Linked DNA regions of Oryzias latipes. The protein of the gene in region 1 interacts with the protein of each later gene in a pairwise test. Links are inferred from orthologs where the notes say so. Each region holds a gene or a part of one and is shown on either strand. Other genes may lie near its edges.

What was found. The genes of interacting proteins can lie anywhere in the genome.
Region 2: the proteins of pogz (region 1) and nfya interact in binary tests that used the Homo sapiens proteins (3 or more experiments, as listed by UniProt). The two-hybrid records come from large-scale screens. The link is inferred for Oryzias latipes from reciprocal best matches to the Homo sapiens genes POGZ and NFYA.
Region 3: the proteins of pogz (region 1) and banp interact in binary tests that used the Homo sapiens proteins (3 or more experiments, as listed by UniProt). The two-hybrid records come from large-scale screens. The link is inferred for Oryzias latipes from reciprocal best matches to the Homo sapiens genes POGZ and BANP.

What each region holds. Positions count from the first base shown.
Region 1 is NC_019869.2:4,546,656-4,550,219, reverse strand, and holds part of pogz (pogo transposable element with ZNF domain), read right to left. Parts: intron 2,121-3,564; coding exon 2,029-2,120; intron 1,328-2,028; coding exon 1,196-1,327; intron 1,099-1,195; coding exon 1,039-1,098; intron 946-1,038; coding exon 830-945; intron 598-829; coding exon 552-597; intron 148-551; coding exon 1-147. UniProt on the Homo sapiens protein: Plays a role in mitotic cell cycle progression and is involved in kinetochore assembly and mitotic sister chromatid cohesion.
Region 2 is NC_019865.2:10,737,901-10,742,242, reverse strand, and holds the start of nfya (nuclear transcription factor Y subunit alpha), read right to left. Parts: upstream 2,864-4,342; 5' UTR 2,764-2,863; coding exon 2,747-2,763; intron 2,216-2,746; coding exon 2,110-2,215; intron 1-2,109. Other genes in the region: ngrn (neugrin), read left to right, coding at 4,232-4,342. UniProt on the Homo sapiens protein: Component of the sequence-specific heterotrimeric transcription factor (NF-Y) which specifically recognizes a 5'-CCAAT-3' box motif found in the promoters of its target genes.
Region 3 is NC_019864.2:22,010,514-22,014,688, forward strand, and holds the start of banp (protein BANP), read right to left. Parts: upstream 2,864-4,175; 5' UTR 2,383-2,863; intron 1-2,382. UniProt on the Homo sapiens protein: Controls V(D)J recombination during T-cell development by repressing T-cell receptor (TCR) beta enhancer function. Binds to scaffold/matrix attachment region beta (S/MARbeta), an ATC-rich DNA sequence located upstream of the TCR beta enhancer.

The DNA.
Region 1 (3,564 bases):
GCCATGATCTTGACGGTCATGGCCGGAGTGAAAGAGGGTTTCGAGTTGGAGTTGAGAGGCTTGATGGTCAGCTGTTTGGAGGGTTCTTTGGAGGGGACCAGGTGGATCGGTACAAACTTTCCCTCCCCGCTGAGGGTCACCGTGGGCCTGAGGAGGAAGAGTATTTTAAGAGTTGCACACCATCAAAATACAGGAAATAACACCACAACAGGAAGGTAGGCGAGATTACACAACTTGTTTTATTTTTGGAAGACAACTTGCTGCATTTTCTTTCACTGATTCACTTAGAAATCTATCGTTAGTAAAATATGGAAACTCAGCGTGCCTAAATGCAGATTAAAAAAAAAAAAAAAAATCAATAAATTGTCTTTTTTTTTAATCTGATACAATCTTAACACTAAAACATTAACTAATAAGAACAAATATGTAAATTATCAAACTAATTTCTAGCAGTAAAAACCTGTCGGTACATTTAGAATAAAAAAAATATTATTTTGAACACCAACTACTTTATTTTTCTGCAGATTTTGATGAGTGAATGTTGTCTTTACCTGTCAGAACTGCACTTCTTAGCTTCTTCTTCACTTTGATCTGAAACTAAACACATTTATCAAAATACTTTGCTTAATTCTATGAATATTATTTTGTTTTTTTAGGAAAACAAACAGACTAACAATAAATTTCTACAGGAAAAAAACAACAACAAACGGACAGAATTAGTTTATTTTTTTAGTTCAATCCAGTGGTTTGTCCTGGACTAAAATAAAATAAAAGTAAAAAATTTCCACAGTAAATGTTGGACTGAGGATAAAGTGCACAAAAACTCTACCTTTGCTTAATATCCTTGCAAATCCATGTGACGGATTCTCGTTCAGGTGGTTTGCTATGACATCGCCTCTGAAGCTGGAAAGCGAGCATGCGACGCATATTACTTCCTCAGACAACCTGAAAATAGAAAAATAAAAAGCCCATGATGAGATTTAATGAGCTGCAGATGAGAAGGAGCTCTTTGCCTTCAGAGTGAGATTCTGTGGGAACCTTGGGTCGGGCTGGAAGATGACTGGAAACTGCCGGGCTCTCCTGCTGGTGGTGTGATTACTGCGCCAAAGAAATTCAACAGTTTTAGAGATTCATTTTTAAACAGCCTTTAGAGAAATACATTTAGAAATGGAAGATCTCTGAGGAGCTGTCATACTTGATCATGTGGTTGGCGTAGGAGGCGGAGCAACAGGTGACAAATCTGCAGAGGGAGCAGCGGACCACAGATGGAAAGTGACGTTGGAAATCTGGAACGGAGGCCAGACACTCGATGCAGGACTGAGACGCCCTGCAAAGCAGAAGCAGACGTTTAAGAGGCTAGAATAAGACACGTCTTCTATAAAAGTATAAATGTGTCCGGGTAATTATAAATTTAAGAAAAAAAAAAGATTAAAGATACCTCTTCTTAAAAAAAAAGCAGCACTTTATTCTCAAACACAAAATCAGAGCTGACGGATTCAAGTAAAAGCCAAGATAAAGGGTAAATCATACGGTGCATTCAGGGTCCCACACTTTCACGAACATAAACTAAAGATGTTTATAGTTTCAACAGCCTCCACACAAAACATTAAACATGAGTGTTTGCATAAGAAAGTGGACTTCAAGTATGTAAACAGAGCGGCTGAATGTTAAATATCCAACATTGAAACAAATCAAGCAGTAAAACAGACCTGAGAAATGCGAGAAGTTGTGGCAGAATAAAGAAACGAGTCGCACAGCAGATAAAAGAGTCTAATAAACAACAAAAAAACGATTATATGCTGATAATATGTTGCATTATTTCTGGAAAAAGGGCCTAATTTAAATCCATGTTTGTAGCCAAAACAACTTAAAACCAAAACTATAATTTCTCTTTTTTAATAAGCAAAAAACAGATTTTCTGATGTGATTTTACTATGAAAAAAAGAGGTTAACAAAAATTCAGACTGTTGAATATTTCCAACCACAACAGAACAGGAGGATCAGCATGCAGAGGCGTGGAACCTGTACCTGTCCGTTTTCAGTCCCGACAGTCTCAAACCCTCGACCGCGTTCTTCTTAGGAGCTTCCTGAATGGGAGGAGGCGAGGAAACATTTACAACCTGGAGATCAGAAGAAGAAACAACAAATACTGTTTTTTTTTTTTTGGCTTTCGTTCAAAGCTCAGCCAATGACTGTATCCGAGAATGAAGTTATTTTCTCACAAAACATCTATGAACGGTTGCTTTCAGTGTGGTTCTCTGGAGAACTAAACGCTCAAAACGTCTTTGCAACGTGTCAGCGTCTCGTCTTTTTTAAAATGTCAGAATGATGCATTTCTTTATGAAATATTTTTGCTTTGTTGCATAGCTCCTTCTTTTGCAAAACGTTGTCTGATAACCGGAAGACTCCCAAGAAAACAAACATTTTTTGTTTATTTTAATGGATAAGAAAATGGTGTGGAAATTGGAGGTGGAAATTTCTACAATTTCTTCAAAATGTTTTGATGTCAGCAGATGAAACATGGTTTCGGTACAGGAACCTGCTTCAGTGGAAGTAAGACAAAAGTAAGAAAAATAAAAGCTTTGGACATTTTCAGAAAGAAAAGAATAATATATAAGTCTGCCGTTGCAATTTCTTATTATTCTTTAGCAGGGCCACTTGTGTTTTTAGGAGAGTTCACATGAACTGTTCTACTAACAAAGAAAGATTAATGGCTTTTCAAACATCACTACTAGGACTGTGCATTTTTGCTTAGGTGGCGATTTGATTCACTGATGGAACTACGACTCTTACTTTTTAACATAATGTATTTGTTGCATTATGTATGTCTTTTTACTGGATGTATAAAATTAAAAGTTTTCTGTATTAAATCACCATCATTCATACCTTTATTTAGAACAGGAGATCAGATTAAAAAAAACTGGGTCCTGCTTTTCTTCTTTACTTCCCTTTTTTGTTGTGCTGCATCTCAGAGCGAGGCGGCTTTTCTATAATTCAGAATCCGCTAGAATTACGTTGCGTTGAAGAGTTACTGTATTTGAAAGAATGTAAGAAACTAGGGGCTAAAGCAAATTTGTGTTTTTTTATGTCAGTAAATGGAACTTCAGTGTCATTTCTTTCAACTACAAGAAAACCTTCGATGGTTTTACTTTGAAAATGGGGAACTTCATCGACATTTCATTTCGAAGATTTGCTTACTTTCTGCCTTTTTTGAGTTTATACACTTAAAATCCAACATTATTCTGCATTCAGAGCAATAAATACATCGTTTTCAATGTTTATTTTTTACTACACTATATTTATACAAATCGCGAATCAGCGATCTTGGACGTTGCGAATATTCAGATCGCAAGTATCCGAGTACTCGCATACTCGTTACACTATACAGTGTAACTAGTCATATTTATACAAATCGCGAATCAGCGATCTTGGACGTTGCGAATATTCAGATCGCAAGTATCCGAGTACTCGCATACTCGTTACACTATACAGTGTAACTAGTCAATACTGCAAAAAAACAAAAATAGCCATCCAAATGATCATTAAGTTCTTGATGGAGTTTGG
Region 2 (4,342 bases), on another chromosome or scaffold:
TATATATTTAACCATTTTATTGGGTATATAAGATCGGGTATAAATTACCCAGCAAATGTAGTGGTGTAACTTTTTGTGGTGAAAATGGTCTAGGGTTAAAGTAACCTACTGGGATAAAGAGTAATGCTATAGCACAACTCCACCTAGTGGCCAAACTGAAACGCACCACAGGAGAGGCAGAACACAATGATCAGCACAATTTTACAGTGTATGAACTGCATCAGATTAATATGAATATCTATAAAACATATATAGATTATTGTTGTATATTCATACAAATATGTATAAAGGTGGAATCTGTGTCAATTCAATATTGAATTGAATTGGGTGGATCAAAAAAAATAAAAAAAATTGTAAATAGAATCGATTCTAAAGATTTTGGGTGATACCCAGCCCACCTACCAAGAACTTCAGACGTCAAAAGATGAATACACTGTGAGCATATAGATACATTTATCTTTCTCTTATCTTATACAATTGACACTATCACTAAAGCATTTGGTTGTCACTGTTGTTCAAAATATATTCCGAAGATATACATTTATTTTTTAAGTTGGCTAAGCTGCTTTTAAACTAAGGTCTTAAAAAAATAAAAGCCCACATTCTGATTCAGAGACTTTTAAACAATCTGACTAAAGACTAACTTTACTCGAGGCAAGAAAACAGTGAAAGTGGTCAGGAAGCAGATGTCAGAATTGTATTAATATTAGGGGTCGATTCATATCATAATTTGTGCTTGCTTATATGATTCATAGTCGATGTTGGTTTATTTTGAACGATCCGATTCACTGACCTAAAATGGGTCAGGACATCTTTATCTAAAAATTCAACCAGTGTGACTCTACCTAAGTACTGAACAGTGCAGGTGAGGTTTTCAAGATTCTTTGTCTTTATTGCCAGAAAATCAAGTGTAAATTACATATGTATACAAACAAGTAAACAAGAATTAATGGGAAATCCATTCACATTTTTGTTTCATAAAGTTAAGCCCACCGCTGTCTTGCCACATCAAAATAATCCAAAGGGAACATTTTTAGAATATTCCAGCACACTGTATGGTCCCATGTCTTGGCAAAGTTCAAAGTGTTTCCACACAGTGGACTGTAGTGATGGATTGACCATTTTTGGCTGCATCACGTGTGTTGTTTGATGTGATGGCACTTGGTTGTTATAAAAAAAATAAACATGGCATGTCTCAATCCAATTAGTATTTTCCATGATCGATATAATTGATTTATTTCATATTGAAAAGATTTTATAAGGGTATAGACTGATTTGATTAACAACTTGCCTCAGACAGATTGATGCAATTAGATCATTGGAATTTAAATAGATTAATCCATTAAGTGGATTATTGTTACACACCCAATTAATAGTGTGTAGTGGGCTGCTCAGAAACCAGAATTGAATACTACAGAAGAGTCGCACTTTAAACCAAAAAATTACATAAAATATGACAAATCTGAGTGCAAGCATATGAAATTTGATGAAAGACATAGAATAACAAAAATGTAAGATTTACTTTTTAGTTAATCACTCTGCAACACTATTTAAATGTACAAATCTGTTTTATCAATAAATGTTTGTGTAATACTGAAAAAATGAACCTGGTTAATTGTATATTTTTTTGACTGTCACGAAAGGAACAAAACAGGTCAAGTCAACTAATCTGGTTCACCTTGTAAAAAGTTTGCTGTGTTTACAAAGTCCTGAAGTCCTTTCTCAGTTGGGATCTCCCCCTCTGGGCTGCAGACATGCATCACCACTTAGCTGTGGTGTTGAGGCTGGTTCCTGCCTGTGATTCTGTATTTGGCTGGCTATGCAGCTATTCACTGTGAGAGGGAGGTCCCAAATATTAGGTTTTACTCAACCAATATTTGGCTTTCGTGCTCAGCCTATTTCCAATTGCCCATCCCCATTAGCCAGGAGGTGGAAGGTTTGAAAGGGGTGGGGTGTGTGTGTGTGTTAAGGTTTGGGGAGGGGGTTCTTTTCATTTTTGTATGATTAATTTTGTTTTAATGTAAAGCGCTTTGTGTTGTGTTTTTATAGGAAAATGCGTTATAAATAAAGTTTGATTTGATTTCTCGGCTGGCGCACGCGCGCGCTCACCTGCTGTTGGATCTGTCCGTTGGCGGTCTGCACAACAATCTGCTCCCCTGTCGTAGTGGTGGCAGACGTGTACTGCTCCATCGCTGCTGCTTTTTGACGCAGTCCTCTAATAAAAGAAAAAACACAAACAGTTTAGCCTAAATATACAATGTCCTTTAAAAGGGATGTTATCAGTTTTTTTAATCTAATTTAATCAAGCATTTTTCTTTCTACTAAAAATGTAGTGCCTTATTTGACAACGTAATCATCGCCATTTTTTATAATTTTATTTCGTAACACTGGCTTTTATTGAGTCGTATATTGAATTTTTTATTTGATCAATGTGTATTAAGATACATTAAAACATGCTATAAAAATCACCCGTTAGCTGTGTTTGGAAGACGACCACCTAGCTTAGCTTAGCGCCAAAGCTAGGTAAACACCATGGTAAATTCTAGAAAGAACAAAATGGATGCTCAATTTTTAGTATGGGGACAATCGATCGGTTTTGACGGCTTTGGCGTTTCCCCAGTTGTTAAATATTTGCTAGGTCGATGAGACAAACGGGTGGAACTAGGGGAACATTATATGCCCTTTCTTTGTTTGGGAGTTCTTATTTTAGCGTAAGCTAACGTCAGACCAACAGAGATTATGTTACCCCGCTGCAGTTAACATAGATCATTTCGAGGCCGTTGAGAACTTAACAGAACCAGGACAAAGCGGTCAAACTCGAACAGCAATTTTGATTTTTTTGCAGTTAGCAGGGTTAGTAATTTGGTTGGTCCATGACAAACCAATCCGTGCTGACAACTACCAATGCCTTCAATCGTGGCTCCCTTACCGTAGCTTCGCTGTCCGGTTTCCCTCTGATTGGCTCTAGTACAGCTCGCTAAAACCCAATCAACAAAGTGAGCGGACAAAATGGCGCAAATGAAACAACGGCGGTTGGGAGGAGGTGCACAGCTGCGTGGCACATGACTGCGGGGACTGCGCAGGCTGCATTACCTCTGCTCCCCAGCAGATGGAGTCATTCAACTCTCTGACACAGTTAAGAATCTAATTGTTTCAAAGTAAGCCTAGATGCTGTAGTGACATTCTTTTTTTACCTTCTTTTTTCATTTTTAAATTCAAAGAAACAGAACACCAAGCTATGGTTGTCCTAAGTATATACCTATAGGCAACATCAGAGGTAACCTGACATGGGAAGCCCATGCTGAGCTCATAAAGAAAACCCAAAGTCTACTTTTTCAAGGCTTAGGGAAAAAAACAAAAACTCTTCAGGTTTGGTGGTGATTTTCCACTGCATTATGAAAAGTGTGCTGCCATACTGCATCTGTATTTGGTTCTCCAGCTGGACTTCAGCAGGGCAGAGTGCACAGGGTCACAGAAGTTGCACAATAGACTGTCTTGTTGTCCTCCCCAACAGGCAGAAACAAGACAAACTAGAGTACAGTTTCAATTTTAAAGTTGACGGATTAGTCTGGTGCCCTGATTTCACATTACATTTAAAGCACATAAATGATATTTTAAAACAATCTGTGACAAATTGTGAGAAATAGATTTCAAGATGCAGAAATACTACCTCTGTGGACAAGAAAACAAATAAATAACACATCAGTGCTTAACATTCAGGCATGGTCCCACTATGACTGTCTATAAATCCTTAAGAAAAAGAGAAAAAAATGAATCACAAAAAATGTATTGTGTGCAGCAGGTTGTACAGCACTTTCTTTACCAGTCCCTATTGTGTTTTTGTGAAATTCTTTGCATGTTTTTAAAATATTTTTCTACTTTTCATTTTTTACATTTATTTTTAGAAAAAAAATGTATACTTAATAAATGTAAATGGTTTCATAAGCGTTTTGTAGCCATAGACTCTCCACAAGGGGGCAGCACCGTTAAAAAAAAACACACTTTAAACTTCAGACTTCCGGAAACACTTCCGGGAATAGACGCAGAGAGTAAACAAATGTCAAGTGTAGATTATCGCTACATTTGGGACTGGTGTAAAAAATAAATGTAACTTGCAATAACAACTGAACAAAAACAAATCTAAATAGGCCAACTAAACATCACCAGGCAGGATCCGAGGGCGGACGGGCTACTTTTGTTTCCTCCGCGTGGAATACAAGTAACAAGGAGCATGGCCAGCAGGACTCTTCGGGTCCTCTGCCATTTTTCCAGGTCTGGTTCCCAATCAGTGACTCCTTCAGCTAATTATTTTAGCTGTAGACTTGCAAGCAGAGGGATCGGC
Region 3 (4,175 bases), on another chromosome or scaffold:
ACCCAGTTTAGGCTCCGGGAGCCCCGAGACCCCAAAAAAGATAGAGTAGGTTAAGAAAATGGATGGAAAGACAGAAAATAAGACACATTTTTCAGGAAAGAAGGGTCTTTTTCACTTCCTTAAGACTCCGTTTTTGCTGTTTAAAACAAAATGCAGTTAACAAACAGATCTTTGCATTTGACTTTAAAAAATAAACAGAACTTTAAGACTACATTCATTGAAGTGGACTCTGGTCTCATTTACACAACGATAAATTCTTGTGTTTAATTTTTCAAAAAGTGGGGCATTATTTGTCTTTTGTTAAAGAAATCTTCAGAGCTTTCCACAATTGTAACTTGCAAAAATTCCTTTCATAGAGGGAATGTGTGCTCCTGGCAACCATACCATTTCAAACAGGCTTGTTGGAAAGGATAACAGGAAGCGACCCTTGTAAGCCACTGTTTTTGTTTCCTGTAGGACTGAACTTTAAGAAAAAGTATCACCGATTGAAACCTGTACATTCCAGAGCATCAAGAGTGGCTTTGTGCATCCACACCAAACTGGACAAGGTCTTTATTGTATGATTTTGAGCCTTAGCGCTTTTGACTAATAACTACACAGCCTGAAAAAAGCTTGATTACCTTATTGGGCCAAATCAAATACTTGCAGAGATTATTGCCAATGCATTTAATATTGGGCCTTTTTCCACACATATTGCAAACTCCATAATTGAGGAAACAAATCAAATTTAACTGGTTTTCAAGCAAATCCTATTAGCTTAATACCAGTTATGAAATTGTGTTTGACAACAGTTGTACATAAATGCTTTGAAGTCAATGCATGTGTTGAGTATGCAATTATAATGAGTTCTATGACATTTTTAAAGCATTTAAGTTTGAGGATTTATTACATGTTCATCACTAGCAAGTTAAACATAGAATGGCACACTTTCTGCTTCATGTGACTAAACTGCAGCTAAAATTCAAAATCTGCTTTTCATGTGTCATATAGTCATGAAACATAGTTTTGGAAACGGTTCTTGATAAAAATTACTGTTTTTAAATGATAAGTCCAAAAAATGAGTGGACATTTAAACTTCCCCAAATTTCATAAATAAATACAATAGTTAATATTTGCTGAAGTGTTTTCACGTTTAGGAACATTTTTATTGTGGTACTCGTTTCTTTTAACCTATTTACGCATTATTTATGGTCAAAATACTTATAATTCTTGTTTTGTTTTGTTTTCCCAAGTCCTTTATATCTAAAATGTTTCCCCAATACCATAAATCTGTGTCATAATTAAAAGCCTGCAAAGGCGAGAGTAGTTAAAAGTATTTTATTTTCCTGATTCAACTAATTTTAAAACAGTGTATATGAATTAAAGTCCAATGTAAATGACAGTATTGGAAGATTGTTTGTTTTTCCAATAAATGGTTATTTTAAAGTAAAAATTTAATTAAAACACAATTTTATGTTTATGTAAAACAATTATCACTAAGGCTAATGACCACCTTCTAAACAAAGCATGTGTGCTTGGCATTGCTGTATTTTTCTTTACAAGCTGTGGCTAAATGGCATAACAGTTAAACTCAAGTCTCCCCATTTAATTTTTTAATTAAATCAAAATACAAATAGATTTGTTTACGTCACTTTTAGCAAATACTAATTTGGATGTATAATTTAATCAAATGTACTTTTTTTGTATATGGATTGGGGCAAAAGTAGATCAGACTGGCAATTTTATGACATTAGTTGATGCACTTTGAGAAATACTTTCACATTCATACACATGTCAATGTATGAATTTGTTTCAAAGCAATTAAGATGTGATAGTTTAAAAAAAACGACCAGAAATGCCTTACTATTTGTAAACTGGTGGTTTATCTTAATAATGATAAAGCCAGACTTTGTTCAAGCCTTCTACCTTTCATTCCACTAAATATATTTCATCTTTGCCTTGCTAGTAACGATGCAGTTATTTAACTGTATGCTATCAGTATCAGTAAATGGGAGGAGATTTAAATTAATGAACTAAACAATTGAAGGAACATAGGTCCTGATAGATGTTGATTATTGTTTTTCAGGAAAAGTACAGTTTATTACAACTGCATGAGATCACAGCTGTGCATTATAACAAGTTTCGATTAGCACAGAGCAGTGATGTACTGGCAATGGCTAAAGTTAGCACAATCCGATTTGAGAGCTAAGCAACGCAAACAGAGCGCTATTTCAGCTAGCTTAGTCGTTAGCATGCTAGTTAGGCCTACAGGCCGCTGAAACGCAACGAAGTATTTGCTAAAACGTAAAAAATTAAAATAAAATGAAAGATGATTTTGACTTGGATTCGTAGACCATTGCTCACACACGTCAATTGCACGGTGTAAGAGTGGGCTTATATTACCGTGTGAATGACGAATTCTCGTGTTGTTTCTAGAGATTCCGATAACGGCGTCGTTCCTCGCGAGAGATGAGCTCGTGCCTTCCTGTGCTCCTCCGCCGACTGGCTGCGACCGCCGAGACAGCCTGTAGGGGGAACGTGCCGACTCTTCATTAGATATGAGATCAGCGTCAGGGTGTAAAGTTTTCTTTTAGAAAAACACTTTGACACTTTGCTCAAAACTACCGACCGCCTTAAAATCTTATGATTAAAGAAATGCTCCTTTATATGAGCGGATGTTTACTGAACTATCAAATTTAAGTTTGTTTTTAGGATTACTTCCTCACAAACTAAAAAATAAACAAAGGATCCTGCACATGGATGTCTTTCGTTATTTTTTAAGCCAACGATTTGAGCAGAAAAATCAACGCTACCAGCAATATCTCGTGTAACAACTGCAGGGGGAAACTATTTAAAGAACAAAGTATAAAACTGTTATCAGCTGAACAATTTCGAGATAGTTTCAGATACTCTGTGTTCTGATTTGAACAGTGAGGGAAAATAGAGAAAATGACACACCATCAACATTTAAGACAACACACAAATTATTTAAAAAGAAATTATACAAATATTATATATATATATATGCAGATCTTTATATATTAAAGATCTGCAAAACCAGTCATTTAAAAACATTTTTTTAATTTAATTGTTAGAGAGACACTCTTGTTGCCATGTTTGTGATTCAACGTGTGTTAATACACGTTTGTTCTTTATCCATGTTTTGTTTATGTATTTTATTTATTAATTTATTTAGGTGTTGTATGAAGCCCTTCAGTCCTGCATTAGCCAAATTGTAATCAAGTGAAGGAGGCCGTATTTGTAAATAGTTGAATTGATGAATCCATTTATTTTTCTACAATCCAACCAGATCAATCTGTCTGAGGCAATTTGGTAACTGAATCAATATACCATCATAAACTTTTTTCAAAATGAAATAAATTGATTATATTGATATTGGGAAATACCATTTGGATTGAGGCACAGAAGGTTTATTTTACTATAACATAAAAACGACCAAATGCCATCACAGCAGGCAACACACGGGAAGGCACCAAAACAGGATCAAGACATCAAGCTATTGCTTCTTCACTTCAATGTATTGAAACCCCCCTTTGAATTTTGCAAAGACACGTGATCATATGGCATAATGTTCTAATCATTTTCTTTCCTTTTGGACTTTTCCCTTCAGGGGTCGCCACAGCAAATCACCTTCCTCCCTCTAACCCTGTCTTCTGCATCCTCTACTCTAACACCAAAAACTGTCACGTTTTCGTTCACTGCATCCACCTCTTGCCTGGCAGCTCTAGACTCATCATCCTTCCATCAATATACTTACTCACTGCCTCTCTTCTGGACACTATGGTCCAAACCATCTCAGTTAGGTCTCTCGACTTGATCTCTAAAACCTTTAACATGTGCTGTCCCTCAGATGTACTCATTCCTTATCTAATCCATCCTGTTCACTCCCAAGAAAAACCTCAGCATCTTCATTTCTGCAACCTCCAGCCCTTTTCCTGTCTTTTCCTCAGTGCCACTTTCCTTTGATTTGAGCTGAAACTCTTCTATCATATGAGGTTCCATTTGTGCCAAAAATATGTTTTTGTGTCCACTGTCTATGTCTTTGGTCCCTTGTCTATGTCTACTGAACGAGTTCATTGACCTTTGGTTCATGCGTTATGTTTAAAACTTTGCATTTGTCTTTCGTCGTCAGAAAAGTCCTTTGTACGGTCGGTTAATTGTTTCCTGTACTACCA